Linked DNA regions of Rattus norvegicus. The protein of the gene in region 2 purifies or fractionates together with the protein of the main gene of each other region. This does not show direct contact. Links are inferred from orthologs where the notes say so. Each region holds a gene or a part of one and is shown on either strand. Other genes may lie near its edges.

Region 1 (7,438 bases), on a different chromosome or scaffold from region 2:
GCTGACCTGTGGGGAAAGGAATCCCCAACCTCCTGAGGCCCTTGCTCACCACCCCTCTTCTGCCTAGACGAGCCTGCTTTCAGCCAACGCAGCTCGAGATGAAACAGCTCGCCTGGAAGAGCGTCGAGGGATCATCGAATTCCACGTCATTGGCAACTCTCTGACGCCCAAGGCCAACCGGCGTGTGCTGCTGTGGCTTGTGGGGCTGCAGAACGTCTTCTCCCACCAGCTGCCACGAATGCCCAAGGAATATATTGCCCGCCTCGTCTTTGACCCGTGAGTCCCTGGGCACCCCAGCCCCAGAGCACCTTGACTTCCCCATCCCTCTCCACTGGACACTCTCCTAATTGTAAGGCTCCACCTTTCCTCTGTTCTTATCCCCGATGACACTTCACCCTTTCGTGGCTGAGGGACCTGGGGAGCAAGGAGAGGACAGGTGAGTCCCGTGACATGTCCCCTCTCTCTTAGGAAGCATAAGACCCTGGCCTTGATCAAGGATGGGCGGGTCATCGGTGGGATTTGCTTCCGCATGTTTCCCACCCAGGGCTTCACGGAAATCGTCTTCTGTGCTGTCACCTCAAATGAGCAGGTCAAGGTGAGCACAGTGCCCCTGACCATGACCCCGTTCTACCACCTGCCTCCGAATATGGAGCAAGCCAGCCGAAATGGCAGGATATCTGTGCCCCAGCCCTTGCTGTATCAAGCAGACTTTCCACATACTCCCTCAGGGTGGCAGCTTCACCTTGATAACTGATCATTGAGAAAACACTGGGCAGTGGTGATGCAGGCCTTTAATCCCAGCACTGGAGAGGCAGAGACAGGAGGGTCTCTCTGAGTTCGAAGCTAACCTGGTCTACAGTGTGAGTTCCAGGACAGCCGGAAACACAGAGAAAGCCTCTCTAGCAACAGCAAAACAGTGGATGTCATTCTGAGGGCCGGGGAGATGGTTCTCTGGTAAAGCGTAAATGCGAAGGCCTTCGCTTGATCCTCATCACCCACATTAAATAAAATGATAAATAATAATAAAATACAGATATGATAAAAATCAGCAGGGTAGGGTAGTACATACTTTTGATCCCAGCACTCGGGAGGAAGAGGCAGAGGCAAGGCCTTCCTGGTCTACAGTTTGAGTTACAGGACAGCCAGGGTGTGCAGAGGAACCCTGTTTTGAAAACACAAACAAAAAGTACCCAAATCAGCAATGATTTTTTTTTCTTTTCTGATGCAGGATGGAATGCAGGGCCCTGTGTACACCAGGCAAATATTCTACCACTAAGTTCTGCTCCCAACGATCTTTTGTTTTTTTTTTTTTATAATAAATAAATAAATCTTTAAAAAAAAAAAAAGAATTTATTATATATGAGTACACCGTAGCTATCTTCAGACACATCAGAAAAGGGCATCAGATCCCATTACAGATGGTTGTGAGCCACCCTGTGGTTGCTGGGAATTGAACTCAGGACCTCTGGAAGAGCAATCAGTGCTCTTAACCGCTGAGCCATCTCTCCAGCCCCAGTAATCAGCATTTTTATGTTAACCTTAGGGACTTTTTGTTTCAGAGAAGGGCCCATATAGCCAAGTCCAGCCTTAAGCACACTGTGTAGTCCAGGGGTACCTTAGACTTGTGATCCACTTCTCCCTGCCTCCAGATTACTGGGATCACAGGTGTGTACCCCCACACCAGGTCTTATCCATTGCCAGGGATCGAACTCAGGTCTTTGCGCACTCTGAGTAAGTGTTCTGCTAACTGAGCTCTACCCCACGGCAGCAACACTTTCCAAGTGAACCTTTGTTTCTTGGCAGGAAGGTTTGCATGCCTTGGGGAGTTGATAGTCCCAGCTTCTGTCTCTTTTGGCAACAAATTACTTTTGGGCTTTTCGTTCTCCCGAGTTGTGTGCATTGTCTGTATGGTCCTGACATGAGCGGGCCTCTGTGACCCCTTTCTGTTCTTCCCCTTTATTCTGAAACCCCAGCCGTGTTGGGTTGGAGCCCAGCTCTGCTGCGTCCGTGGTCCACTGACCTCAGACTGTTCTTCATACACAACCTGACTTATCAGGGTCTTTTTGGTGTTTTTCCTGCGAAATGGGGCTTTTGACCTAGTCATGGGCTAACTGGCAAATGGGTCTTTGAAGAATCAACCTGGAATCTGGCCCTGAGAGAGGAGCATCTAGAAACCCTTTACTTTCTCTCCGCAAACTCTGATCCTCTGCTGGCCACCTGACCTCCCTGCTCCGTCTCCCCCACAGGGCTATGGCACCCACCTGATGAATCACCTGAAGGAGTACCACATCAAACACAGCATCCTGTACTTCCTCACCTACGCCGACGAGTACGCCATCGGCTACTTCAAGAAGCAGGTGAGCCTCGGAATCACTGCACCGCCACCTCGGGCACCGTCTGTGTGCACAGTGCCCCGTAGAGCTCCTTTTGGTTGCCCACTGCACCCGGCACCGGTGAGGAAGCCCCGCCCCCCCTTCCTGTTTGCTCCCAGTGAAGAACAAGGCCAGGGATTGGAAGGTCCTTTGGGGATTGGAGGAGGTGAGGAACAGCCGTCCTGGAGCCTTTGCAGAGGCACACGGAGTTCAGAGATGTAAGAGGAGGCATGCTCTACACCAGAGAAGAGACTGTGAAAGCTGGAGAAACCTGGCTGATGGATTGGGTCTTAACTCTCCACCCATCTAGGGCTTCTCCAAGGACATCAAGGTGCCCAAGAGCCGATATCTGGGCTACATCAAGGACTATGAGGGAGCGACCCTGATGGAGTGTGAGCTGAACCCCCGCATCCCCTACACAGAGCTGTCCCACATCATCAAGAAGCAGAAGGAGGTACACATGTCTGCGCAGGGTTGTGCGGGTCTGCACTGGGGAGCTAACGCACTGAGACTTGTCGTACGTGTGTGTTTATGTGTGGTAGAGACACACCAGGTCGTAAGTTCCTGCCCTGCCTCTTAGAAAAAGCCAAAAGTAAATGCTGCCATTTACTGACCATGGTCTTGGGGGTGGTTGGGCCTGAGCTGGCTCCCTCAGACCCTTGCTTCCTCAGATCATCAAGAAGTTGATTGAGCGCAAACAGGCACAGATCCGAAAGGTTTACCCTGGACTCAGCTGCTTCAAAGAAGGAGTGAGGCAGATCCCTGTGGAGAGCGTCCCTGGCATTCGTGAGCAGGGGCCTTGGCTGAAAGGGCAGGAGGGCATTCTCCGGGCATGGGCAGGCATTCTGAGAGATGTTTCCCCACCCCCCCCACCCCCTTTGCAGGAGAGACAGGCTGGAAGCCACTGGGAAAGGAGAAGGGGTAAGTGTTCAGTCAAGGGGAATGAACATGGAATGGGGGGTAGGATGGGGCAGAAGAACCCAGACCTCAGACTTGATATCTCTCATTTCTAGCAAGGAGCTGAAGGACCCTGACCAGCTGTATACGACCCTCAAAAACCTGCTGGCTCAGATCAAGGTGGGAGGCCAAGGTCCTCTTGTCGGTAACAGAAGTGGGTGGCAGTCTGCGGTTGGGCAGTGAACACTGGGCCTGTCCTCAGCTCATCTGTTCTCTCTAGTCACACCCCAGTGCCTGGCCCTTCATGGAACCTGTGAAGAAGTCGGAGGCCCCTGACTACTACGAGGTTATCCGCTTCCCCATTGGTGAGGACCCTTGTACTCTCATCCCTAACACGTGCCCCAATCTATTACTGTCTGTGCGGAGTCAGGTACCCAGCATGGTGGGCATCCTCAGTTTTCTCCTTTCACCTCTTAAAGTCATGTGCCTTCTCCCTTGTGACCCAGACCTGAAGACCATGACAGAACGGTTGCGCAGCCGCTACTATGTGACCCGGAAGCTCTTTGTAGCCGACCTGCAGCGGGTCATCGCCAACTGCCGGGAGTACAATCCCCCAGACAGCGAATATTGTCGCTGCGCCAGTGCCCTGGAGAAGTTCTTCTACTTCAAGCTCAAAGAAGGAGGGCTCATTGACAAGTAGTGCCCAACTGGGGTCTGCACTGTCCACCTCTGTCTCATCAGATCCGTTTGGGTGCTCCCGGACCCCCTCTCCCTGACTCAGCGGGAGAAACTCCAGCCAGGGGCCCCAAATCTTGCAGACTTTGGCCAGCAGGCACTTACTCCCAAGCCTGCAGCTCTCTTCCCACCTTCATTGCATCCGACATTAGGGAGGTGTCTGGTCTGGGGCCAGCCCCTTGTAGAATGTCTGGTGGCCAGGGAATGAACTGCTAGTCCTTACCGAGCTATGCAGGCTGAGCGTCCTGAGCCTGGTCCAGGTGCCTGTTTCCCGGGACCAGGACTATTCAGTGAGGAGCCTCGACGTGGGAACAGCTCAGACTGGAGGAACTATGAGGGGCCTCGGCTCGTCCTACACTGTTGTCCACCTGTCCCCCGGGGTTGGGGGCAGGAGGACCATTCATTCCTTGGCATTAATCCCTTGGAGGGAACAATAAAGCTTTTTTTTTTTCCCCCTGTGTGATTATTTGGGGGGGGGGGGTGTCCAGCTCCAGACTTAACAGATTGACCCTCGTTCCTCTAGTCCTTCCCTTTCTTACCTGGAAGCCTAACTTCAAGCTACAGTGGTGCCACTGACCCCTGCTATATATGGTGGGGTGATGGGCCTGTCTGACCGCCATCCCTCACCTCTTCTGCTCCAGTAGCTTCCAGCCTGTCTCACCTGCAAAGGGAGAGCAAGAGCTTGCCCTTAATGCCTGTCTCTTCCCTGACTCCTGGACCAGGAAGCAGGCAGCCAAGGCCCGCACCTCCAGGCCTTAAGCTCAGCCCGGGGGTGGGGGTTACTGCCCCCTGAAAACATGAGGAGCTAGAGAGCCCAGGAGCAGTGAAGGCCTACCTATTCTGCCAGTATCTCCCTTTCCAGTCTAACTTTTATTTCTTTTGGTGGCTGGGCTGGGTTCCAGCTCCGTCTGGCTCCTCCCCTTGTTTCAGTTTCATTTCTCTTCATTGACTGAACTGTCAGCCTGGGGCTTTTCAGAGCTTCAGAAACCTCAGCAGAGACCAGGCTAGTCTGCTATTCATTTCCAAACCCCATCCTAATCCTGGCCAGGGTAAGTTCCAGGTAGGTATCTATGAGTTCTTGGCTAAGAACAGCCTCTGCAGCTGATTGGGCTGTCCGGCAGGAAGGGGAGGGTACGTGTTCTGAACCCTCTGCCATTCCAGAATGGAGCTGCGACCCTACCAGTGGGAAGTGATCTTACCTGCTCTGGAGGGCAAGAACATCATTATATGGCTTCCCACGGGTGCTGGGAAGACCCGGGCAGCTGCCTTTGTGGCCAAGAGGCATCTAGAGACAGTAGACCGAGGCAAGGTGGTGGTACTGGTTAATAGGGTGAGTGATCTACCCTTCCCGGAGTGGGGTCTCTCGGCTCATCTCTTCTAGACTAGACTACTGCTCTGCCAGGTCTTCTCATCTTGGTTCAGGAGATGGTTGGGTCCTGAATCATGTCCTGCCACGTTGTTCCTCCCAGCTTCCCCGACCCCAACTCCCAACAACTGCCATTTCCCACCCCCGACCTCAATCCAGGTTCTCTCCATTATTCTTCACTCCCAGGTACACCTGGTGAACCAGCATGCCGAGGAGTTCAGGCGCATGTTGGATAAACAATGGACCGTGACAACCCTGAGTGGGGACATGGGATCACGAGCTGGTTTTGGCCTATTGGCTCGGAGCCATGACCTGCTCATCTGTACGGCAGAGTTACTGCATCTGGCGCTGAAGAGCTCTGAGGAGGATGAACACGTAGAGCTCACAGGTGAGGAAAAAGGCATAACCTGCTTAGAGGACGTGCTCCTGGGCAGAGAAGCCCTCCCCCTCCCTCCAGCTGAGCCTCAGTTTCCTAATCTGTAAATTGAAAGATAAGTCATTCCTGCCCGCTCCTTGCCAAGTAAGGAAGGGAAGAGGAAGTCCTCAGACAAGAATGGGGACTTCACAGAATTGCTGGGAGGAAGAAGTGCCAGGCGCAGCTTACAACTGTCTCTCATGTGCCCCCAGAATTCTCGCTGATTGTGGTGGACGAGTGTCACCATACCCACAAGGACACCATCTACAACACCATCTTGAGCCGGTACCTAGAGCATAAACTGAAGAAGGCAAAGCCCCTTCCCCAGGTCCTGGGTCTCACAGCCTCCCCAGGCACTGGAGGAGCCACCAAGCTCCAAGGGGCCATTGACCACATCCTACAGGTCAGCTGAGCCCCTGAGCCCCTCCTACCATAGATCCTTGCTTGTCCTGCCTCCCAGTCCTACCACACATACCCTTCATACACTGGTTTCTTCAACTGTCCTGGACATATGAGGCTTGTGGGACCCTTTGAACTTACTATTCCTTTTTCCCCCGGAATGCCTTTTCTTTTGAACCTCCATCAGATTCCTTCCCACCATTCAGCAAACAGTCCTGTCATTGTCGCAGTCTCCCCTGGCCATCCCCACTACTCTGTCATAGGGCTAGTTTTAATTATTTAATTATTTTCGGAGTTTGTCACAAACTGGAAGCTGTTTGAACTGGGAGCTATGAAAATGGGAACTGCTTTTCTTTCTTTAAAGATTTATTGTGTGGGGCTGGAGAGATGGCTCAGCGGTTAAGAGTACCCGACTGCTCTTCCAGAGGTCCTGAGTTCAATTCCCAGCAACCACATGATGGCTCACAACCATCTGTAAAGAGATCCGATGCCCTCTTCTGGTGTGTCTGAAGACAGCTACAGTGTACTCATATATAATAAATGAATAAATAAATCTTTAAAAAAAAAAAAAGATTTATTGTGTGTACAGCGTTCTGCCTTGCGTGTATGCCTACAGGCCAGAAGAGGGCACCAGATCTCAGTATACACGGTCATGAACCACCATGTAGTTGCTGAGACTTGAACTCAGGACCTCTGGAAAGAGCAGCCCGTGCTCTGAACCTCTGAGTCATCTCTCCAGCCCTCTTTGCTGATTTTCAGTCGTCTCTAAATGGACGTTTGAACCTAAGCTCCTCTCTCTCATCAATTCAGGAGTATTAGTGACTCACAGGACACACTTCAGACTCCTTGAGACGAATCCCAATTTGCAGTGGCCCTGCCTCAGGCTTTCCTGTCCTTAACCAGGACCCCACCTCCCTCGGATCCTGTCTGACTCCTCTTTCCCTGATGCGTTTCTGTTGCCTCCAGCTCTGTGCGAATTTGGATACGTGGCGCATCATGTCACCGAAGAATTGCTACTCCCAGCTGCTGGAGCATAACCCAAAGCCCTGCAAGCAGTATGACCTCTGCCAAAGGCGCACGCAGGTGTGTGAGGGGTCACAGGGCAGGCTTGGGGGAGGGGGGTCTGGTGCCAGGTTAGGGCACCTAGGCTTGGGCCCCGACTCCACCTTCCCTAGCTCTTGTCACTTCAGGCCCTGGCCCATGCCTTTTCTGTGCTTTGAGGCACCCGCAGCCCAAGTCCAAAGCCTACTGTGC
Region 2 (7,459 bases):
CTTTCCAAATGTCTTGTGTAGTTCATGTTCAGTGAACTTTTATGGAAAACTGACCAGTGATTTTTGGGATTATATTCTGTTAAAGTGTATCAATGTATCAAACTTAGGGTCCATATATACTTAGAGATACTGTGTATTACATGAAGTAAATTAAAAAATTAACTTTTAAATTCTCATTTAAAACAAAAGTCCCAGTATGACAGACAGATGGATGTTAGTTCCCTTATGTTACTAATACTTTTAAATTTTATTTTAATTGAAAACAGAAGTTTTCAAAAATATTCTGGTTATGGTTGCCCTTCCCAGTCTTCATAGAGACTGCAGAACATAGAGACTGTGCAGGTCACCAAGACCGGAAGTAGCTAACCAGCCACAGTGAAATTCCATGAATAAAATTAACTGAATCATCTTTCATGTGAAAACACTGGCATGGATTAATCTCAATCATAAAGAAGCTTCCCTCACTCCTAGCTTCTTTTCCACCTAAATTGCTATGTTCAATCATTTAACCAACTTGGCAAACCCAAAGCTTCCTAACCATTGGCCAAATTGCACTGGAGACAATTGAATTAAAATGTCATTCATAGGCAAATGGATGGAACTAGAAAATATCATATTGAGTGAGGTAACCCAATCACAGAAAAACACACATGGTTTGCACTCACTGATAAGTGGATATTAGCCCAAATGCTCGAATTACCCTAGATGCACAGAAAACATGAAACTCAAGACAGATGAACAAAATGTGAATGCTTCACTCCTTCTTTAAAAGGGGAACAAGAATACCCTTGGGAGGGAATAGGGAAGCAAAGTTTAGAACAGAGGCAGAAGAAACGTCCATTCAGAACCTGCCCCACATGTGGCCCATACATATACAGCCATCCAACTAGACAAGATGGGTGAAGCAAAGAAGGGCAGGCTGACAGGAACCGAATGTAGATCGCTCCTGAGAGACACAGCCAGAATACAGCAAATACAGAGGCGAATGCCAGCAGCAAACCACTGAACTGAGAACAGGACCCCCATTGAAGGAATCAGAGAAAGAACTGGAAGAGCTTGAAGGGGCTCGAGACCCCATATGTACAACAATGCCAACCAACCAGAGCTTCCAGGGACTAAGCCACTACCTAAAGACTATACATGGACTGACCCTGGGCTCCAACCTCATAGGTAGCAATGAATATCCTAGTAAGAGCGCCAGTGGAAGGGGAGGCCCTTGGTCCTGCTAAGACTGAACCCCCAGTGAACTAGATTGTTGGGGGGAGGGCGGCAATGGGGGGAGGATGGAGAGGGGAACACCCATAAAGAAGGGGTGGGATTAGGGGGATGTTTGCCCGGAAACCGGGAAAAGGAATAACAGTCAAAATGTAAATAAGAAATACCCAAGTTAATAAAGATGAAAAAATAAATAAATAGCAAATAAATAAAATACAATAAAATAAAAGTCATCTCAAAGGGGTGGGGGAGGAGTTAGGGGGATGTTGGCCTGGAAACCAGGAAAGGGAATAACATTTGAAATGTAAATAAGAAACACCCAAGTTAATAAAGATGGGGGGAAAAACTAAAAAAAAAAGTCATCTAGTCTTTCCTGACTAGATGGACTGAAGAGGTCCTGGACAGAAGTTCTAGACCTTGCTTTCCCATGATTCCTTCTCATGTGCAGAGGGACCGGGTAAATCATGCAGGTCACATGGTGTACTCAGACATAACTCCCAGCCCTGTATCAGTACAGGGATTCTCTCTGCATATTTTGGATTTGTGGTTTGAAATAATTACATTTGCTACTCAAATGTCCTACCACTTAGACACTCCCAGTCTGATTCACCCTGCAATTTCCACCTCCAAAAGAGAATGCTGCGATCAGTTTCTTCTCCTCTCACCTGAAGACAGTCACAGCTCCCAAGGACATGACATTAGTTACCTGGCAGTTTCTCTCCCCAACTCCCAAGTTGCCTTGTGGTGTTCACTCCTGGAGAACCCTCTGCAGTCCTCTTCCTGTACTAGTGCTTGTGGTCTGAAAGGACTTTTCACCACCTTCCTCACAGGGCTGTAGTTCCTATACTCACCCGATCTATGTGAAAGCACGGATCTGTTTGTCCTATGACACACTGCTAACACTTGCAGCCTTATACAGGTCATATGTTTAATGAAAGTTTGGAGCATGGGAGCCCATTTACTATACTAATTTACTTAGGTTAGAATTTAATTAGTTAATCAGAATAAGAAACTAAAGATAATAAGGCAACTATTAACAATTATTTTTATTCTATTATTAACAATTTTATTCTGTTCATCCAGTTCCTCCCCATAGCACAGGAAATACCAATCCCAACACCATGGTGTCTTGTGACAGATTGCAGATCTGATGTAAAGCATCCCAACTTGTTTTACAAAGTAGTAATGCTTTTTCAACATGGATAAACAGCAGTAAGTGCATGACTAATACAAACTGGAAGCTTAAAACTCAGCCTAATGAGCCTTCTAGTAAATGTAGCAACAGTTTAGAATACTAAGAGGAAAAATCATCCCTGAGTCACCCAAACAGAACAGTGAGAGTGGGGTGGCTCACACTCTCCTCCCACCAGCTCTAGATTGAGGGTCTGCTGCTTAGATCACGGAACTACATAACTATCTGAATTGGGAACTGCAAGTGCACTATAATGTGTGCTGCTCAGAGCAGTAGTATCAGGGGCCAGGTTTTTTAGCCTATTCCCTCTCTTCCTCATCTCTCAAAGCCTCTGCATACCACACTGGGTATGATCTGGGATCACTCCCATTGATGCTGGTCAAAAAGGTCAATATTTTCATCTTGGTGGTTTCAGCATAGGCTCTTGGGCCCCAGAGGAACTCATAGGAAGGAGGGTGGCTTCCAGGCACCTGCCTGTACTCCAAGTACCCTTCTTGGACAAAATCATCAGTGATGAGCTTCCTGGGTTCTCCATATATAAAGTGTTCACTTCCTGCATACAAGCCTATGTTATTCAATACACCCCATACCATGTCTTCACGGATACAGTTGCCTTCCATGAATATTATGCTCAGTACCATGATCAGGAGGCCTGTCTTGGGTATGCCCTGAATATCAGTCATCATGCCATCATAAGTGAGCTCTAGGGCTATGGCAAGGATATAGGTGTGGCCAGCAGGATCTATTTCCTTTAATTCAAGGCCAAAGACTAGTTGCATGCACTCTGAGGCTTCTCTAAATATAACAGGAAAGTGATCCTGATAATTTTTAATTATATTACTTAGGATTTCTGCCTTGCTGACTGGCTCTTTCATAAGATACTTAAAGAGCAGATATTTCACCAACTCATCTACTTTGACATCTATCTCACCTGTAGACAATGAAGCACCACATAGCAGGGTCTGTGAGGAGCCTGGACTCTCCTCACCCTCAGGATCTGCACTGACCTGGCTACATGGAGAGGAAACCATGGCAGTGCAGGAAGAGAAAGCTCTAGAAGCAGCACAGCCCTCCTCTGAGTTGCCTGATGTTTGAGAATAGGAAGAAGAGGTAGAAGAGAAGGAAAAAGGGAAAGAAGAGGAAGAAGTAGAAGAGGATGAGGAATCTTCTTCTGTTGAAACTGCAACACTCATTTGGCCCTCTGTCTCATTTTGGCCCTCAGGCTGTCCCTCAACCATACATCTCCTACGCTTCCGAGGTCTAGGCATGATGATGACTCTAGTCTTGAACACCAGGCAGGAGCTTGATGATATAGACCCAGAGACCTAGGGGAAGAAGAGGACAGTAGAAGTATTGACAGTTACTCCACTGGAAATGCTCACAAAATGCTGATAACAGGATTTCTATTATGTGAACTCTAGAGCAACAAGGAGTCCTGTTTCCCTGTCAGGTCTGTCTCTTGAGAGACTGAGGGGAGTAGTGACAAGTTTCCTCAGACTGAAACTGGGCCAGAGTAGAGGCTTCAAGATTGCCAGAAGTGTGTATGAAGCTAAGCAAAGGGGGTCTACTGTGCTTCGGGTACATGTGACATATTCAAGGTGTGTGCCTCAGATTTATTCTAGACCCTACCTGGGCTTCCCCTGACGAAATAATCTCAGATCAAGACCCTTACATAGCTCCTGCGAGAGAGGATGAGGTACCCGACAGCCATAGACTATAAGGTCAATACTAAATCCTAATGCTAGACAGGGTCCTGAACTGCATTGTGAAGAGTTACCTGACTCTCAAGTTCCCTCTATGCCCACTGTGGGTTTTCCCTTCTTCTATCAGGGTCTGGACTCCACCCCATCTCCTGGTCTGAAGCAAACTCCTGGACCCCACCCTTCTGCTGGCCTGAGACAAATCCCTTGAACAAACTGCCCTCCTCTCTGAAAAGACAGTAAGGTGCCTTCATCTTGCATCTATTCAAGGCAACTGCAAAAGGTGCCTGAGTTAAATGTGTTCTGTAAGTAGGGAATGAGGGGCCTGCCCAACTTTCAGCTTGATGCTCTGGTTCCTCTGATGAGCTTAGGCCACACACCTTAAGCAAAGGTCCACTCTGCTGAGACAGAAGAAAGAGGAAGGGAGGAGAGGAGGGAATAGTTCCATATTTCATAGGGTCCCTGAAGCTGGCGGGAGAGTAGGTAGGGATTGAACCTCATCTGTATAGGTGACTTGACTCACTCAATTCTTACCTTGAGTCCTGGCTGATTTGAGAGACTCCCTCTGATGGCTTCAGTCACAGTTCCTTTAATCAGGGTCTTTAGATCTCTGAGACCAATGTCCTAGAAATAAAAAAAAAAGGGATCGGACAATCCTGCCCTGGAACATGGGAGTCACAGGAGATAAGCTTCTGTGGGCCCTGTCTGTGCTCTGAACTGGGGTTACTTTCAACTATCCCTTGGGGTTCACACCTACTCTGATGATAGATCATAGAACCCCTGCAAATAACCAAGATCTCATACTCAGATCAAGTCCCTCAATATCAAGAGATCATGAAAATAATCAGGAGGTTGAGCAGCTGCTCCATTGCTCCTATGCTGAATTGGGATCCCTGGAGATATCTACAGGGTTCAGACTAATCTCTGTTGTGTCCATTTAGTGCAGTGTCTTCATCTGACCTGTCCTTCCTGACAGGCTCTCGTTATACTACTACTCCTCTTCCCCAATATATCCTGCCTTCCCACCTGAATTAGTTTAATTAAACTTGTCATTTAGCTTCCCCAAGGGCTGGTCTCAGGACACAGCTAGACACCATAGTCCCTTCTTTCTGGGCTATAGAAACATGCAATCATCACAAGAGGTCCATGTCTGGGATCTGGCTCATCCTGAAACTCTTCCCTTTACTTGCCATCTGAAGATCTTACTACCAAGGTGTTCAAGTCCCTCAGATCTCCTATCCCCAATCTTGAGGCAGAAAAGAAACCCAGCCATAACAACCACACTTCAAGGTCACCTAGGCATTAGAACAAGGGCAAAACTTGTGTAGAGGATGATAGGTACTTTCAGATGTTGAGTTTTTACCATGTCTGCTCACCTTGATTACTAGACACCTTCTCTGGTAACCAGGCGTGGCCCTCTTTCCCTCCCCCCATCTCTCTCTCGTGATCCCACTCACTTAGTCTCAACTTCCTGAAAGACACAGAAGTTAAGATAGATCTGAATACCCCTGAAGTGCTTCTCAAAACTAGCAGAAGGATCAGGAGTCCACTCTTGTCTTGGGGATTCTGAAGGATTTCCTATTTAGTTCTCACAAGGCATCTGCTGGCCCTCACTTCTATCATTCAGATCCAGGCCACCATTGCTCCCCAACTTACACCTGGACATAGTCCATTGTCTTTCCAGGTTAGTCTGTACATATAATAGAAGCAGCTTTTACATATGTAGTATCAGGGCTTTCCTTTTTCCTCCTTCAGGGCCTGAGTACATTACCTCTACAGATCTGAGGCCTTCACCTCAGAACAAGGCCTGATCCTCCCTCATACCCTACAAGTTGAAGCAAAGGTGCACTACATCATTTTCTCACAGCTGAACGGAGTGTGAAGGTCTACCTAAGATCCGAAGTGCAAGGGACTATTTTCTGGAAGTGGGCCCCACTGGATGCCAGGTTGCATTAATTGAGCATCCTCTGTCCAGAAAATGTCTCAAAAGTACACCTTCTTCAATTTTAATGGGTATCTCCCCTCCAGGAACCTTACATCCACAAGTCCCCAGATGAGGAAGTAGAAGGGTGGAAAGTGCCCCATACTCAGTGCCTACTTGATGCCAATGCTAATCAAAGGGGTCCGGAAAGCCTGTAACCAGAAAGTGAACACTATAATACAAGCAACTCGCTTAAAAAGCACAAAGTCTTTTCATTGCTCTTCTCTAGGAACTTTACTAAAAGGATCCATGTCCCCACAGCCACTGATATGGATTTGGAAAAGTAGTGTGGTAGGGTAAGTCAGAACCTGGACCATGCTCAAAGCTCCAGGAACTCACTAAAATGACACCAAGTACTCCAGGTACCTGGTTGTGGATGCTAAAGGAGAGGAAACTTATTTCTGTACTTCACCCAGGTTTTTAGGACTATATAGTGGACACGGTTTGGCATAGTATCACAGCTTTTTGATCTGGGGTGGGACTTTTGCAACTCCCTGCCTAGCTAGTTCCCACTGTGACTGAAAGACATTGATGCTCCTTCTTTATTTGAAACTCCTTAGTGGCTCCTAGGTGCCGAGTTCTGTGAGAGGAGTACTTCTAGTGGATCCCAAATGAATTATTATTTGGGTACCCTTCAGATGAACTGAAGCTTCTGCAATTCCACTTACAACTCCCAAATATACTCTGAAAAGGACTTTGTCATCTGTGTTAAAGACCTCTAAACATCATTGTTCTATACTGCGCACAGTAACAGACTGGGAAGAGGACTCAAAAATACCACTGGCCCACTATTTAAAACAGTGTTCACCACAGGGGTGCAACTAACAGTTAGAGGTTCCCTGTACAAGGAGTGACGTTTCCCCAGGCCACTCTGCAGTCCAATCGGACGTTAACCTCGGGCAAGAGCAGGATTCTTACGGGGACGTCCAAGTGGCCCCACTTCATGCCATACTAACCAAATGGGTTAAACGGCATTGTTTGAGCACTGCCTATCCTGAAAGGGGCCTTTTACACCCACTTCACCTCAGCCAAAGCACTCACCTCAACACCAAAAGCATGGCAAAACGGCTTCCAGGGTCTTCACAAAATGGCGTCGAATGCTCAATGCCCCCCGGATACAAAAGGTTGGGGAGGGGCTCTTCTCCACAAATCAGCAACGAGGCAGCCTGTGATCCCCGTGAATCTCACAAAATGGCGCTGAACCCTCAATGTCCCCGGATGCAAGAGGATAGTGGGAAGAGACTCTTCCACAAGTCAGCACTGAGGCAGCCTCTGAATGCTGTGAATCTCACAAAATGGCTCTGAGACTCCCAGGCACCAGATATGGAAGCTTCGGGAGAGGCTCATTCCCACATGGTGGCCTAGGTTTTA
Region 3 (8,034 bases), on a different chromosome or scaffold from region 2:
CTTATAAACTACAAATTTATGGGGCTGGGGATTTAGCTCAGTGGTAGAGCGCTTACCTAGGAAGCGCAAGGCCCTGGGTTCGGTCCCCAGCTCCGAAAAAAAAAAAAAAAAACTACAAATTTATAAACTAAAAGAAAAAAATAACATTTGTCAGATTGAAAAAATTCAGGGGGCTGGAGAGATGGCTCAGTGGCAGTTTAAGAGCACTGGCTGCTCTTCCAGGACTGGGGTTCAATTCCCAGCAACCACAGGGCAGCCTACACTGTCTAGAACTCCAGCTTCATGAGTTCCAACACCTTCACACAGACAGGCATGCAGGCAAAACACCAATGCACAGAAAATAAACATAACTTAAAATTCAGTTTTATTTGGCAAGTAAAATTTTAATTGTTCTAGCTAGAAACAAGCATACATTACAGATATAACACGGAAATATATTAGACGAAGAAGGCTATTATAAATTTCTCAATAACTAAAATAACATACCAGCAGCTACTAGCACTATCCCATACATGGTTCCAACTCTTCACTGTCCCCTCAGGCTCAACATGTGGGTATTAGGGGATGGCTGAACTTGGTGTGGGACACGAGACTGTCAGGCTGGCATGAGATGAGCCTTGTTCCTGAATGGACATGGACTGCATGCACTCATTCAGTAGATCCTCTTCCTTTGTCTCATCGTTCATGCATGGCTGATAATCCTTAGAAGAAACTAAAGGGAAGATAAGCGTTTATAATGTGTTCTGAAATAAAGTTCTCCAGTTTTATTACTGTCATTTTATGTGTATCGGTATTTTGCCTGCATGTTTGTCTATGTACTGTGTGTGTGCCTGGTGCCCACAGACTGCACAAGAGGGCCGCCTGCCTTAAAGGTGTGCACCAACACACAAGCCTGGGAGTGAACTTCTAAACACCACTTCAAGTGGCCCGGCTTACGAAGCTTTTGCAAAAACAAGTCCCCTACTGTTTTCAACTTAGTTACCTTTCACTTCCTCCAGTCTCTTTTACGGTAGTCACAGCACCCTAAGTGTGCTACGCATAGTATAGTATACACTATTCCCACTGATTTTCAAAGCCTTTCAGTGAGAGAATTAGAACTCGTGGCACTCAGTTATGTTTTCAGTGTCTCCATATCCTTTAGTTTTTCTTTCATGGTTTGAGGACCTTGGCAATGTGTCCTCTGCCAGGGTATCTATCCTTGGCCTTTTTGGACTGGACTCTTGGGATAGGACTGCACACTCTTAGCCAGCACCTACAAAATACATGTGATACTGGGTATACTGGCAAAGTCTATAGTCCTAGCACTTGGTTATCAGTCACTCTGTGCTAGAGAGAGAGAGAGACCCTGCCTAAAACAAAACCAACAGCAACAACAACAGACCCTGAAGGACTTGGGGTGAAAGTCTGTGTGCAGAGCACACGCCTAGCACAGGAGAAAAAGACTGAATCTCACTCTCTTGAGTAGTGAATTCTGAATGGAGGCATAAGTTGCTTCATGTTTAGTTTTGGGTTTGACATAGGGTATTCTTGAGCAGCTCTGACTGGACTTGAATTTGCTGTGTAGACCAGGCTGCTTTGGAGCTCAGATTCACTGCTTCTGCCCTGGGACCTATGTCATGTGCCACCATGGTCAGAACTCATCACACTTAAAATATTTAATCAAGGCTTAATTAGAATGACTGTATTTAGTGTTTTGTTTTGTTTTCCCCCGGAGCTGGGAACCGAACCCAGGGCCTTGTGCTTCCTAGGCAAGCGCTCTACCACTGAGCTAAATCCCCAACCTGTATTTAGTGTTTTTTAAGCAAAGTGTTCAAAAGTGCAAGGCAGACATGGTAACCCTGCCCACCTATAATCTTAGTGCTCAGAAGTAGGGACAGGAGGATTGGTTCTGAGACCTTGTTTCAAAAACAAAAATCCTTAACTGTGTGTGTGTGTGTGTGTGTGTGTGTGTGTGTGTGTGTGTGTGTGTGTGTGTGTGTGTGTGTGTGTGTGTGTGTGGTGTGTTACCTGGTAGCAAGAACAGTCTGCCTGGTCTTCTAAAAATCTTCAGGGACTTGCATCTTGTTTTAGATGCATATCCAATTTTTAACCTGTGAAAAGGGAAATATTTTAATTGGAGACAGTAAAGTGAACAGTGCTGTCAGTCTCAAACATAAAATAAGGTTCTTTTTACTAGCTGCTGGGATTACCAAAGACCCCCATTCCCCAGATTATCCTGTGATCCGCTAACCCTGAAGTGCAGCACTGCCATCAGTTTGGAGACTGACACATTTGTGCTGTAAGCTGTGGGTTATTTTCTGAACCACAATCTCATGTAATCCAAGCATGTCTCAAACTGACTAAGTAACCTTCTGATCCCCCCAAGTACTGAGCCTACAGGCTTATGCCACCACACCTGCTGAGAGCTGCTGTTCTTCCTCCTGGCTGTATAGTACTCCCCTCTGCAGGAGCACTACATGTTTCTGGAGGAATCTATTGTTTGGAATTTGAGTGGGAAGTGCAGTCTAGCTCTTGGTGATCCAGAATTCTTTTTATTATTATTTATTCTGTGTTTAAATATGGGTGGTTGCTATGGTTCATGTGATTCATGTATGGAGGTTAGAGGATAGTTTTGGGGAATCTGCTCTACCAGATTCTACCCTGGGTTCTAGGGATCAAACACAGGTTGTTGAGCGTGCATAGCAAATACTTTTACTTGCTGAACCTTCTTGTCCTGATTGAGAAATGCTTATACGTCCAGATTATGCTGTGTGGGAAAGTGGAACACCTGGTGTGGTGGCACGCCTATACTGCTAGCATGTGGGAAGCTGAGGCAAGAGATTACCCTGCATTTGAGGTATACCTGGGCTATACATCCTGTCACCGAAACTCAGACGCCCTTAATGTCATATCCCACTCACTTCAAGGAAGAGGAAGTGGCCTCCCTCATCTGAGTTTAGGGGAGTGATTGTAGGAAATGGGAGTTTTAATCTCAGGAGGCTCCCCAGATTCTGTACACAGAACTGGGTGGTTTTTCCTTCTTAAACTCAAGAACCAGACAGACCCTTCTTTGTGTCTCAGGGGTCTCCAAAGGGCATGTATGATCATTTCAGGTGCTTCTGCTGCAATGCCCAGAGAGTCTTCTCTCTCCAGATGGTGTCTCCATGTAGTGCAGGGGGAATGCTGTTTCTGTGAGTATCGAGAGCTGATATGGCTTCTATGATGAGTGAGGACACCTGGAACACAAATCACCTCTTAGAAGATGCTCTCACTTCTAAACTGACAAGAAACCAAGTGGGGGACACCTGCCTGGCTTCTGTAACCCGTGATGAAACAGATGCATGTACTGCCTCTTCATTAAGGTCCTCAGATAGCTGGAGTTGCAGATCTTAGCAATGCTGCACAGGTAGCGCTTCTGGCCTGAGGTGAGTTCTGGATGCTGAAAGACAGAATGGGGGCTCTTGACTGCTAGAGTGTAGGAGGCATGTAGGTCCTATGTTCACAGAGAGACACTGGGAGAGCTGGGAATGTCAAATATACAGGGTCCTCTCTTCTAAGGGAGAGATGTGGATATTTAACCTGCGTTTAATAGCCTAGAGATCACTGGGTTACCTGTGTTGCTCCTCCACACCCTTGTCAAAGAAAGACCTGTGAGCCTCTCTCCTCAGGTAATCTACAGTACCTATTGTCTACTTTACCAAGAGTCTTCATGTGGCCATGTCTTTCCTTTTTTTTTTTTTTTTTTCCCTTCGGAGCTGGGGACCAAACCCAGGGCCTTGCGCTTGCTAGGCAAGTGCTCTACCACTGAGCCAAATCCCCAACCCCATGTGGCTATGTCTTAAACTTTGCTGTGTACATGGGTAGAATTCTTTATCACCAGGAAACCTTTTCCCAAATTGGGCTGTGTTTACAGATGCCTGAAATAAGCTACTGGAGGTAAGACTCGAGTTGAGCCAACACCAGCTACTGAGTTGTGGTGAGCTGAATGGCCTTATCTTTCACAGAGTGACATAATGCTGCCCTTGGTGGTTGCGGAGACCCACGACACTGTACAACACAAGGCAGTAGTCTTCTTACTAAAAGGATGGGTGTTGAGGGCTGTCCCACCTCATCTTTATGGTTCTCACAAGCAAATTCAGTTATCTCGACTTGCCCAGAGGAAAAGGAAATGATGGTTTATTAAAACATGCAAATGGCTGTAGCTGCCACCTACAATAATTCATGTTATCTTTTGAGCTTTGAGAACCAAAGAGGGGCTCAGCTCTCTGTCCACAAGCTTTAGCTCCCATCTACCTTCTCAAGTTGGACATCTTGCTTGATTTACTTTGTGTGCATGTATGTGTGAGCTGTGTGTGTGTGAGTGTGTGAGCATGTGTATGTGTGTATGAGCATGTGTGTGTGTAAGCATGTGTGTGTGTGAGCGTGTGAGCATGTGTGTGTATGAGCGTGTGTGTTTGTGTGCATGTGTGTGTGCATGTGTGTGTGAGCGTGTGCATGTGTGTGTGTATGTGTGTGAGCATGTGTGTGTGAGCGTGTGTGAGTGTGTGTGCATGTGTATGTGTGTGTGTGTGAGTGTGTGTGCGTGTGTCTGTGTGTGTCTAACTTGCAGCTTTTGGTTGTCTTCTTCCACTGTGTGATCTCAGGGATCCAATGCAGGTTCAGGCTTGGTGTCCAACAGCTTCCCCAGCTGAGCCATCTGCCCTGCCACTGCCTGTCACTCTGATGTTTAAGGTATAAGATGGTGGTACCTGAAAGCACCTTAGTTTACTGTCTCAACTAAAGAAACACCTTTTCCAGAGCAGAAAAATACCTGCTAGTTTCTGTGAAACATACTGTCAGTTTCCAACCTACAATTTAAAAACTTGTGTGTCTATCTGTGGGTATGCACACAAGTACAGATGATGCACGGGGTGTCCAACCAACCCCTGGAGCTGGAGTTCAAGGCAGCTGTGAGCCACCATGTGGTTGCTGGGAATTGAACTCAGGGCCTCTAGAAGAGCACTCAGTGCTCTAACCACTAAGCCATCTCTTCAGCCCCTAATTTTTTTCCCCTGAAGCAGGCTCTTATATATCCCAGGCTGGCCTTGAATTTGCTATATACCTTGAACTTCTGGTCCTCCTGCCTCCATCTGAACACTGGGAATATAAGTGTGTGTCCCCATACTAGGTTTCTTTAATCAAATTGTGACTGAATGTACGTCCTTTTTTTAAAAAAAATATTTCCTTCCTTAAGATGCAAGACTCATGTATATGTAGGCATAAAATGTACATTACTGAATAAGTCGTTCACCTAAAGTAGGAATTTTGGCAGAAGAAACTACTAGTCTAAAGAACTCTTTACTAACTACAATACTTTAGAAATGAGACTCTAACCAGCTATGGGAAGTTTTCTTGTTTATTTGAGACAGAGTCTCCTAATGCCTAGGCTGGCCTCAACTCCCCATCTTCTTGCTTGTACTTCCCAACAGCCATGAGCCGAGCTACTACTCCTTAGACTTTTGGTCTGTTTGTTTGAACAAGGTGTCACTGTGTTACTGTGGCTTGTCTCAATTTCTGGACTCGAGTCACCCTTCTGCCTCAGCCTCCCCAGTAGCAGGAGCTACGGGTCCATGCCACCATGCTTAGCTCTCCACTGTGACCCAGGGAGAACACATGTCCATAGCTGTAAAACCCTCGATGCCATTTTCTCTACTGCTTGCTTCTAATTTTGTAGTCCTTGAGTGAAGGCTCTGAATTTGGGCTTTATCGCTGGAGTGTCTTGGTGAATGGCACTTGATCTTCCTAATAGAAATGTATTAGCTCTGAAGTTCCTGGAAAGAACCTTTGTGACTCTTAACTTATAATCCTTGAAGTCACTCATGAATTTATCCAACATATTTAATGAATGATTCTGTTTTGGGTGTGGGTGGGTTTTAGTTTTGGGTTTTTTATTTGTTTTTTGAAACAGGATTTTACTATGTAGTCCTGGCTGGCTTCAAACTTCCTATGTAGACCAGGCTGACCTTAGACTTAGAGAGATCCGCTTGTTTCTGTTTTTCCGGTGCTGGGGTAAGGCCTAGTCCTACTCTTTTTTGTTTGGTTTTTGAAGACTGAGGACAATTTTTTTTTTTAATTTTGAGGGGAAATATAATAAGCCAGGCAAACTGAAAATGCCCGCAGCTGCCAGGAGGAGAGAAGTGGAGAAAAAGTCATGCCTTTCAAGCTAGGTATGGAGGTCAGAGATGCAGTGAGGAACTAGAGTGGCAGCGGAAGCATGCTTAGCTTTGGCCAGCATCCAAAGGAAAGAGCTAGAAGAAAAAAGGAAGCAGACAGGCTCCCCAGTGTTAGATCACCACATCTCTGCAGGAAGCTCCCTTCACGGACTCACTGACGGTCTGTTAGGTGTGTACCATGTGGTCTGCAGCACCTTAGATTCTACCTGAGCAGTTTATCTTCAGACCCAAGTTCTGGCCCTATAGCTCGGGAGCTGAGCTTGTTAGGATGTGCGAGGCCCTGGGCGTCCCCCAGAAACATCTCAGGGCTGGTAACAGGGCTCTGCAAGCAAAAGCGCTTGCTGCCAAGCCTGGCAGCCTGAGTCTGACCTCTGCACGCACAGGGTGGAAGGAGAGAACTGGTTCTCATGAGTTTTCCTCTGACCTCCACACATACCATAGTTAACACTTAGAAATCTGTCTTACCTTTAGAAAAGACGCATCTGTCATTGATTTAGGGATGTGAATTGTTTGGATTTGAGTAGTTCTCCATAACTCCTGCAGTTTGGCAGTGTGTGAGGACATTCTGTGTCCCTCCTTGATTCTCTCTGTGGGCAAAGACATCGTATGACTTCCTGAGGCAAAGATTATTAATAATATTTATGACTACCAACGATTACTGTGAAGCAGAGTTAAATATTGAGACAATATATAATATGCCCTTTATTTTTAAAACACACAAACATCTGGAATCCACGTGTCTCACATAAAAAGATGCTCGGCATCACCCCAGTTCAGTGCAAGTAACATGAGGTACAGGCCTGACGACGGTAAAGGATTTGCCCAGCATGTCTAGCTGTCTGAGATCAGTCCCTGGACTGTCAAACAGAAGGAGAGAATGACTCTACAGAGTTGTCCTCGAACATCCCCTGTACACACACCCATGTCTCCAAGGCCAGCGCACTCTAACCCCCCTTATCCCTTAACTTGCAAAAGGCCTTTAGGGACTTTTTTTTTTTCTCTTAACTTCATCAGAAAAAGAGCTATTTTGAAAGAGCTCCCTATGAAATAGTTTATGGTTTTTGAAGCTGCTCATGCAGGATTCTTCCCTTTCATCCACATGTAAAAAACAGGTCTGCCCTGTGCATTCCAACCATTGCTAATTCTCAACATATTTTACAAGTCATTGGTTTTTGTTTTTTTTTCCCCTGAGCTGAGGACCAAACCCAGGGCCTCAAGCACTTTACCACTGAGCTAAATCCCCAACCCCTGTCACTGGTATTTTTAAAAAAATGTTATACAGGGGCTGGGGATTTAGCTCTGTGGTAGAGCGCTTACCTAGGAAGCACAAGGCCCTGGGTTCGGTCCCCAGCTCCGAAAAAAAGATCCAAAAAAAAAAAAAAGTGTTATACAGTAACAAAAGGTAAAGAGCTTTCATCTCTCATCTTTGAAACTCTTTTTAAGAGTACAACTCAAAAAAAAAAAAAAAAAAGTTCTCCCCTCCCTGTGGGTTCTGGGGGAAGTAAACTCAGGTAGTCCAGCTTGACTGCAAGTGCCCTTAGCAGCTGCTCCCACCATCTTGACAGCCCTTTGAGCCTATTGTTAAAACTCCATTGTGGGGCTGGAGAGACGGCTCAGCAGTTAAGAACACTGACTGCTCTTCCAGAGGTCCTGAGTTCAAATTCCAACCAACCACATAGTGGCTCACATCCATCTGTAATGAGATCTGATGCCCTCTTCTGGTGTGTCTGGAGACAGCTACAGTGTGCTCATGATAAATAAGTAAATAAATCTTTAAAACAAAACAACAACAACAAACCCTCCATTGTGTACAGTTACAGGTAACCTGTTTCTCTCAAATCTG
Region 4 (8,212 bases), on a different chromosome or scaffold from region 2:
TGTCTCCCCTGTTTCCTCTTACAGGCAGTGACCCCTACAACTGTGCACACATCACCCAAGACAACAGCAATGACTATACTTCATGTCCAGCAACATCGGACCAACAAAATAAGTGTAGTTCTCTTTCCATGTCACAGAGGGCATGGGAAACTGAGGCCCAAGGGGGACCAGGTTTGAACTGCCCCATTCTGCAAGCCTGACCCAGGAGAGGCTAGAGCCTCAGGGGGCCCTAAAGCCACCCTCCAGTCTCCAGCCCAAGGCAGCTGCTCAGGCTGCCCACCAGGGAGACTGGCTCTCAAGACATGGAGAAGCCAGGGGCATCTGGAAGTATGACTCAGCCTATGCCCCCCAACCTGGGACAGATCTGACCAGGAAAGGTGCTTAGGAAAAGAGGTGGTACTGTGCAAGGGCAAGACCTTGAGGAAACCAAAGGGAAGCCGTGTAGAATACACCTGAATGGAAGGAACAGCAAGAGATGTCTAGTAGGACACCAGGCAGGGTGTGTGTGGGGAAACACCCCTCTCCCGGGAGGGAAACATTGCGTCTGTCATGCATCGGCCCTACCAGATGCTCTCCAGTACACTGCACACTGTGCTGGAGCGCACTCTTTTTCCTTATACTCCCTTTTATTTTCCTTACAAAGAAATAAAGTGCTCTTCAGTGAACTGCCCCCATCTTGCCCCCTTTACTTCACTGGACTCCACCAGTCTCATACATAAGCCCCCTTCTAAAGAAAGGAAAGGGGTTGATGAGGGGAAGTGAGAATGGGAAGCTCAGTGTCTCGGAAATCGTGGATAAATAAGAGAATATGAACAAAAATCACAGAGGTTGGCCCTGTGGAAGATACAACACATTTTGTCTGTTCCAGAAGGTTTAGTGAAAATACGATGGAAGTGAGACTGGACTTCTCTCTCGCAAGACAGCCACACACGTGCTAAGAACTCTGCAGCCGTAAGTCATGGCTGCTCATTTTAGTGGAGACTCCTCACTCCGAGCCTACGGGTGCGCCTTGCCCTCGCTGAGCCCTGACTCTGTATTAGTCATTTCCGTCTTACAGTTTTCATTGCCTGTCAAAATCAAAAGCTTCCACCCCACCAACAGGAACTTCAAGAGAAGCATCTCCCTGCGCAGTGACAGGTCCCCACCCAGGTCTACGCCAGCTCCCTAACTTCCCCACCCTCCCAGCAGCAGGACCACAGGTCTGCCAAGGCGGGAGGGAAAGAGGTTTCCACAGCATGTCTACGACATGAGGGGACTAGGAGTGAGAATGGCTTCCTTTTGTCTTTTTGAGAATCCCAGAAAATGGGAGAACAAAAGATAAGACAGGTGGATGATTTGGACAAACAGCTTTAGGAAGACAAAATAGTATTTGCTGAAGAAGAAGAGATGATGGAAGGTCATTGATATATGCAGAATAGTCAGTTAACTCTCAGAAAGAATTCCTTTTCCAAAGCCAAAATGCCTTAAATTGAAATTGTTTCCGAGAAGCTAAACTATGATGGACAGTGGTCTTTGTGCCTGAGCAGACAAGCAAACCTCCTAGAGCAACGGCTGGGAGAAGCCAGGGGTGCTTTGGCATGGCAGTGCACACCCAACCTCACGCTGGGTTATACCGACTCCACCGAGCCCAGCTCTCCAAGTCCAGCCGTCATGGCATGAGGACTGCCGAACATAGTAAAGATTGGGTGTTTAATAGGCGAGCTCAGAGGACACAATTAGCACCATTGAGTAAAGCTGCAACATTATGGTTGCCAAGCAGTGTCTTAGACTCCCCTCTACTGACTGAGGCCTCTGCAGGCCAGCCTGAAACAGGCAGGACCAGAACACAATTCAGAGCTGGAAGGTGGGATCAGCACTGAGCTTCTCGGACAGAAAGGTGAACTAGAATGTAAAGCCTTCCTTGACAGCTATCATGGCCTCATCTTGAGGCCTGAAGATTTCAAATGGGCAAAGCCCAGGGTAGGAGGGCAGGAGACTGGGCAGCAGATAACCAATAACAATATAATTAGAATAATAATAAAAGAACTAAAAGGGAACGAAGAATGAGGAGGGAAAGAGGATTATCCTCGGCAGCATCTTGCAGTGGCTTCTCTGACAGAGAGAACAGAAGGAAGCTATATATCTATATACAGGTTTGGGGAGGATGGACAGGACTGTTCTTCCCCCGTGGCTAGAATTCACCACCAGGTCTTAGGCTGATGTCCACTGTGATTTGTTAAGTGATCAAGTCCCAGTCGAAGTCATCAGTGATCTCCTCATTGGCACCAGGAGGTGGGACAGGTGGCCGGGGAACCATGTGGTGTGCTGTCAAGAAGAAAGACAGATCATGAAAGAAGCTGAAGGAGAAGCAAGTTCCATCAGTCTGGATGGGGAGTGAGTGCTCTACCCCAATGACACCATGAAGAAAGCTGGAGATAACACTGGTACAGTCAGCCTACAGTCCAATCAGTCAGCCTACAGTCCAGTCAGTCAGTCTTCAGTTAGCCTACAGTCAGTCAACCTAGAGTCAGTCAGCCTACAGTCAGTCAGTCAGCTTACAGTCAGTCAGTCTACAGTCCAGTCAGACTATAGTCAGTCAGCCTACAGTCAGTCAGTCAGCCTACAGTCAGTCAGCCTACAGTCAGTCAGTCAGCCTACAGTCAGTCAGTCAGCCTACAGTCAGTCAGTCAGCCTACAGTCGGTCAGTCAGCTTACAGTCGGTCAGTCTACAGTCCAGTCAGTCAGCCTATAGTCAGTCAGCCTACAGTCAGTCAGTCAGCTTACAGTCAGTCAGTCTACAGTCCAGTCAGTCAGCCTATAGTCAGTCAGCCTATAGTCAGCCAGTCAGCCTACAGTCAGTCAGTCAGCTTACAGTCAGTCAGTCAGCCTATAGTCCAATTAGCCTACAGTTCTTTTTTTAACTTTAAAGAATTTTTTATTTTATGTGCATGAGCGTTTTTAATGCTTCTCTCATACATTTTATCCTGACTATAGTTATTCTCTCTCCTAATCCCTCCCTCCAACTCCCCTCTCCCCCAGATCAACTCCTCCTATTTCCTTTCAAAAAAAAAAAAAGAAGGAAAGAAAAGAAAGAAAGAAAGGAGAAAAGAAGAGAAGGAAATAAAAGAAAGAAGAAAAGAAAAGAACAGTCCTCCCAGGATATTCATCAAACAAGATACAATAAGACTGGGCTCAAACCTTCATATTAAGGCTGGACATAGAAACCTGGTATGAGGAAAAGTATCCCAAGTACAGGCAAAGGAGTCAGAGATACCACCCCCCCGCTGTTGGAACACCAAGCTACATAAGTATATGCAGAGGACCTAGCTCAGACCCTCTACCCCCTGGCTCCTATGACCCTTCCTCTCCATCTTCACAGGGTTCCCCTGGATCCACATGCCCAGCGTCTGGCAATGGGTCTCTGCTGGATGACACCCCTCTGATGACAGCTGGGTTCCTTCTGTTGCAGACTAACAACTCAGTGACACCCCAGGAAACACACTGGAGCAAGTGGTGATCTGGCACTATCCTGCCATAAACTCTGCATCTGTGAAGGGTACCTCACAGTGATAAAACACCTTAATTAGGTGATAGCATATGAAAGAGCAGTGCAGAAAGTCACATCTGCTGCTCCCGGACAAAGAAACAGACATCACCTTCAAAACTGAAAATACTTGTGACCAGAGAAGATGGCGACGGTGAACCGCCTTTTCAACATGAGGAGTCTGTTCCTCTGCACTGTCTGCAGTGGTTCAGTGCCTCCCTGCACTCAGCATCCCGACCCATCAAAGACGGTTCAAGCCCACGCTGAGGAAGCAACCCAGTGGCACCACGCTTGCCTAGCATGCGAGAGACCCTAAGTTCAGCCCAACAGATGACAATACAGAAACAAAACAATGACAACACAAAACAAACCAAAACCGACGTGTTGGCCCCAGACATCTGACGCTAGTGATCAGGTGACAGGAAACCAGACATGGGTAAAAGCCATTTAGGTGAAGTGTTCACTTCACTTGCCCATCTTCCCTCTTGGTTCCAAAGCTAAATATCCCTCACAGCTGCCCTTCACTTACATTCATAATTTTACTTCCTTTCGATATTGTAGTTGCAGGATTTTTTTTTTAATTTTTTTTTAAAAAATCACTTTGTTGAACGTGTGTGTTTTGCCTGCATGTACATCTGTGCATAACATTCATGAGTGCCAGCAAAGGCCAGAAGAGGGCGCCAGATCCCCTGGAACTAGAGTTACAGACCACTGCAAGCCAGGTAAACCATGTGGGTGCTGGGAATGAAACCCAGGTCCTCTGGAAAAACAGCTGGTGCTCCTGACCACTGAGACATGTCTTCAGCCCCATAAGGTAAATTTAAAGACAAGCTAGCAGGGGGGAGCTCAGAGGTAAAGCCCTTGTATAGTGTGTGTGAGGTCCTGGCTCCATTCCCAGTACCACCAAACAAAGAGAATTTAATTAAGTAAAAGTGCCTTTCTTAGTCGCACCTATGCACACCTCCCTAGAGGGTAGCTCATCTCATCCTGCAGTCTTGGAGACCATGACGCCTCACCCATTCTAGCAGGTACAGACAGAAGGGCAGAGAGATGTCAGAGGAAAACAAAACAACACTGAGAGGTGAGTGTGCTTGTCTGTGAAACACTCCCCAGGGCTTACTTGGGCGACTGTATCCTGCTGAGTCTTGGGTGGAGATTGGGTACATTGGTGCTGGGCCAGGGTAGAGATGAGAGGCTTGCGGGTGCCCATAAGAGTTCACTACCAAAGCAAAACAAGAGTCACTTTAATGGGGGATTACTGTTGTCAACATGACAGGAAGGGAAAACATGTCTCTGTCTCTCTTCTTGTCTTGCTTTATAGATTCTACATGCAGGAAGCATTCTGCAGAAGCCACCGGCCTCAGCTCTTAGGGTGGGAAAGGCTGGATCAAAGGTGAGAGAAAAACCAGACACTTGATCAAGTCTCCATTTTCACTGACTCGAGTGGGATACAGGTGATGGTTATTATGGGGACAATTTAGAATAAGGACTTTCTTTAACAAGTCCCCTTTCCTTTCAAAAAGTAATTCTTATCTTCCAAATTGAGGTGTAAAAGGAACTTAGTCTACGGCTTCTGCAAAAATCCTTTATTCAGTCAACAAGCTGGTCCCGGGACTCAGCCGGATCACTGCCTAGAAAACTGATTGGCATTTCTCTTTCCCTTCCCTTCACCCTTCACTTAGTTCAGTCTCCGCTTCTCTGTCAACTTTGCATCTTACCTTGGTTCATAGATGGCTCCGGTTTGCCACTGGTGAGAGCACAGGAGTCAGTGATCCGGGAAGGGGCAGGTGGTCGGTGGGAGCCCCCTTGCGGGGGCATGTGACCAGTCTGGGTGAGGAAGTGGTTGAGGGAGTCACACAAGTTGGCGATGTGATGCTGATCGAGGGTCCAGTTCCTCTGCTCTGCCTGCCGTAGGCTCTCCATCAGCTCTAGAAACAAGAACGCCAGCCATGGTAACCCCGAGTGAGGCGCTGCCAAAGCCCGCACCACACCCGTCCCTGGTGCACGGTCTCCTCACATCTTGTACCACTAATGTCACGTACTAACGATAATGATTTATACCTTTCTCTTTTTTGCTTCTATAAGCATTTATTGAAATGAGATATGGTAACAAGAATCATTAAACGTGCCAGTTTTTAATTAGAATTTTCTTCTGTACGACTGCTTACATTAACCTTATGCTGCACGACACTTTTAGAATAAAAAACACAGACTAGAAGCAAGTCTACGTTTTGCACTCTAGCTAAGGATGCTTCTTGCAAAACTTGAGACTACTTTCTTTTTTGCTTAACGGGAGTCCTAACGGGAGTCCTCTGGGTAGTCACCCAGAGGCCACAAGTTACTTCTACTATTATTTGTTCCTTGCCAAATTCTTATTTTAATTTGTATCTCCTTGATGAATAAAAATGTTCAAAGTGACTTAATGAACTCACTATCATCTCTCTGCCAAGAAGCAAAACTGCAAAATGGTGGCCCAGAGTCTCTGAATTCCCAGGGGCCTTTCCTCTTCCCCAGAAGACAACTAGCATAAAACATTGCAATATTTGAATAATAGCAAAATTTCCAGTCAAACCTAAAAATATCGATAATATGTCTATCTTGTATAATATGCAAATGAAACTCTGTCCCAAACGCTCTTGGCCAAGCACATGGGTTCTAGCACAACACCCCTCTTCCCTCTCCCGGAAGCGGTCCCCCCTTCCCTCTCTCAGAAGCGGTTCCCCCCCTTCCCTCTCCCAGAAGCGGTCCCCCCTTCCCTCTCCCGGAAGTGGCCCCCCTTCCCTCTCCCGGAAGCGGTCCCCCCTTCCCTCTCTCAGAAGCGGTCCCGTAAGCGCCAACCTGAGAACTGGGATTGCTCGATGCTGGACCAGTTGAGCCGGTTCACCATTTTGAAGCTTTCCTTTAAGGAGTCAATATTGGAGCACCAGTCTGGAGGAAAGGCTGTGAAGAGAGCATGAGGTGGTGAGACAGAGAGAGAAGTCTACGCATGCAAGGTTCTCACGGCGACCCAGCTTAACAGCTGCATCAGCACCAGAGCTGTGCGCACTCCCTCCCTGGAGATGCAGGAACGGAAACGTGCCCTGTCCATTAGGCACCACGGGCAGAGATGTAAAGCCATCCTAGTTCATCTGCGAATATGGACCGGGAACAAGGAAATCCCCAACCTCAATCCTCCAGAGTACAGGGCTTTCGGTAGTGACTTCCATGGGCTGAGATGAGGTAGAAAGGCAAGAGATTGACCCTCAGAGACCAACTGTTAGCTTTTTCACCCATGGTACCTCCATGCCGGTCAGGAAACAGTTCGATCCTGCTCCTCCCAGCTTTCTCTGTACCCTTCTTACTCACCAAAGCCGGTGCTGTTGATGGGTGCCTGGCTCTGTGCCTGCTGCTGTGGTGGCTGCTGGGCAGGGTGGGAGTGGGGATGGTGCTGATGAGGGTGGTAGCCTCCATGCTGCAGTGGGGGAGGGTGCATGGCCATCCCAGTGGGGGGGCCGTAGACTTCAGCTCCTGCCTGTTTTCCCCCTGGTGTAGTACAGCCATCGGGGCTTGGGGTGTGCAGTGGAGGGGCACCCCCTACATTTGAGGGGCCCTGAGTGGGTGCCTGCTGCTGCTGCGGTTGTGGTTGCTGGGGTGGGGGCTGAGGCTGCGGCGGTGGCTGCTGCTGTTGCTGCTGCTGCTGCTGCTGCTGCTGCTGCTGCTGCTGCTGCTGCTGCTGCTGCTGCTGCTGCTGGTACATGTAATAGTTGTTGGAAGGTGGCATGTCTCCAAGGAGTGAGGAAAAGCCTGCAGGGAGAAGAGGAAGCCGGCAAATGATTTGGGCTACACGGTTTCGCTAAATGACATCTTCTCTCAGGATGAGAGCTCAGGCAGGAGAGTTGAAATGACACGAGCTCATTCTCTGACGGCAAGAGAGAACCATGTGTTGCTTCTAGTAGATAAGAGACTGGAAAAAGCAGTTAGGTCTGCCCCACTGGTGACCACGGGAATATTAATAAAAATTTTTAAACTTCACTAGTGACAATTCATACTACTTTTAAGGGATTTCAATGTAGGGCTGGGATTGGTTTCAAAGGAACTCACATAGTAAGTGAAACTTAAAACTTAAACTCTAATTAAAACGCAGCTATTGGGCAGACACTGCTGCACCTGACTGTCCCTCGGTCCCCTACTTGTATTCAGTACCTAGGGAATGCAGCTTGGGTGGGAAGCAGCATGCGGACAGATTAATCTCTCAAGCCAAATGGGCAAGGAAGAGATAACATGCAGGGGTGTCCAACCTTCAGCCCCAGGCCGAATGAATGCAGCTCAGGATAGCTGTGGATACAGCGAACACAAAATCATACTCACTGAATCTCTCTGAATCACTGAGTCTCTTAAGAAATTATGAGGGTTTTTTAAAGATTTATTTATTTATTTATTTACCTATCTATTTATTATGTATACAGTGTTCTGCCTGCATCTACACCTGCAAGCCAGAAGAGGGCACCAGATCCCATTACACATGGTTGTGAGCCACCGTGTGGTTGTGGGAATTAAACTCGGGACCTCTGGAAGAGCACCAGTGTTTTTAACCTCTGAGCCACCCAAGGTGTTTTCTTACATTTTGTTTTCTGTAGCTTAACCACACAGTGCTCATGTGTGAACTCTGAGGGTGACATGCTGTAATGTCAAAATGCTGGACAAACCTGC

The links.
Region 1: the proteins of Magea10 (region 2) and Kat2a purify together in Homo sapiens (affinity purification with mass spectrometry; 3 studies listed by BioGRID and IntAct, counting the BioPlex papers as one, with this or other methods). This does not show direct contact. The link is inferred for Rattus norvegicus from reciprocal best matches to the Homo sapiens genes MAGEA10 and KAT2A.
Region 3: the proteins of Magea10 (region 2) and Fam216a purify together in Homo sapiens (affinity purification with mass spectrometry; 3 studies listed by BioGRID and IntAct, counting the BioPlex papers as one, with this or other methods). This does not show direct contact. The link is inferred for Rattus norvegicus from reciprocal best matches to the Homo sapiens genes MAGEA10 and FAM216A.
Region 4: the proteins of Magea10 (region 2) and Foxj2 purify together in Homo sapiens (affinity purification with mass spectrometry; 3 studies listed by BioGRID and IntAct, counting the BioPlex papers as one, with this or other methods). This does not show direct contact. The link is inferred for Rattus norvegicus from reciprocal best matches to the Homo sapiens genes MAGEA10 and FOXJ2.

Annotation. Positions count from the first base shown.
Region 1 is NC_086028.1:86,129,572-86,137,009, reverse strand, and holds the end of Kat2a (histone acetyltransferase KAT2A), read left to right. Parts: intron 1-67; coding exon 68-276; intron 277-468; coding exon 469-595; intron 596-2,246; coding exon 2,247-2,357; intron 2,358-2,682; coding exon 2,683-2,826; intron 2,827-3,043; coding exon 3,044-3,158; intron 3,159-3,256; coding exon 3,257-3,293; intron 3,294-3,385; coding exon 3,386-3,449; intron 3,450-3,549; coding exon 3,550-3,634; intron 3,635-3,775; coding exon 3,776-3,969; 3' UTR 3,970-4,475; downstream 4,476-7,438. Other genes in the region: ATP-dependent RNA helicase DHX58, read left to right, coding at 5,167-5,334, 5,557-5,758, 5,998-6,188, 7,151-7,267. UniProt on the Homo sapiens protein: Protein lysine acyltransferase that can act as a acetyltransferase, glutaryltransferase, succinyltransferase or malonyltransferase, depending on the context.
Region 2 is NC_086039.1:155,252,866-155,260,324, forward strand, and holds Magea10 (melanoma-associated antigen 10), read right to left. Parts: upstream 7,417-7,459; 5' UTR 7,130-7,416; intron 4,732-7,129; 5' UTR 4,642-4,731; intron 3,733-4,641; 5' UTR 3,676-3,732; coding exon 2,707-3,675; 3' UTR 2,170-2,706; downstream 1-2,169. UniProt on the Homo sapiens protein: Not known, though may play a role in embryonal development and tumor transformation or aspects of tumor progression.
Region 3 is NC_086030.1:39,860,779-39,868,812, reverse strand, and holds the end of Fam216a (protein FAM216A), read right to left. Parts: intron 6,779-8,034; coding exon 6,657-6,778; intron 3,419-6,656; coding exon 3,289-3,418; intron 3,216-3,288; coding exon 3,044-3,215; intron 2,091-3,043; coding exon 2,008-2,090; intron 713-2,007; coding exon 558-712; 3' UTR 363-557; downstream 1-362.
Region 4 is NC_086022.1:157,737,010-157,745,221, reverse strand, and holds part of Foxj2 (forkhead box protein J2), read right to left. Parts: intron 7,307-8,212; coding exon 6,869-7,306; intron 6,464-6,868; coding exon 6,362-6,463; intron 5,452-6,361; coding exon 5,242-5,451; intron 4,743-5,241; coding exon 4,644-4,742; intron 2,305-4,643; coding exon 2,216-2,304; 3' UTR 1-2,215.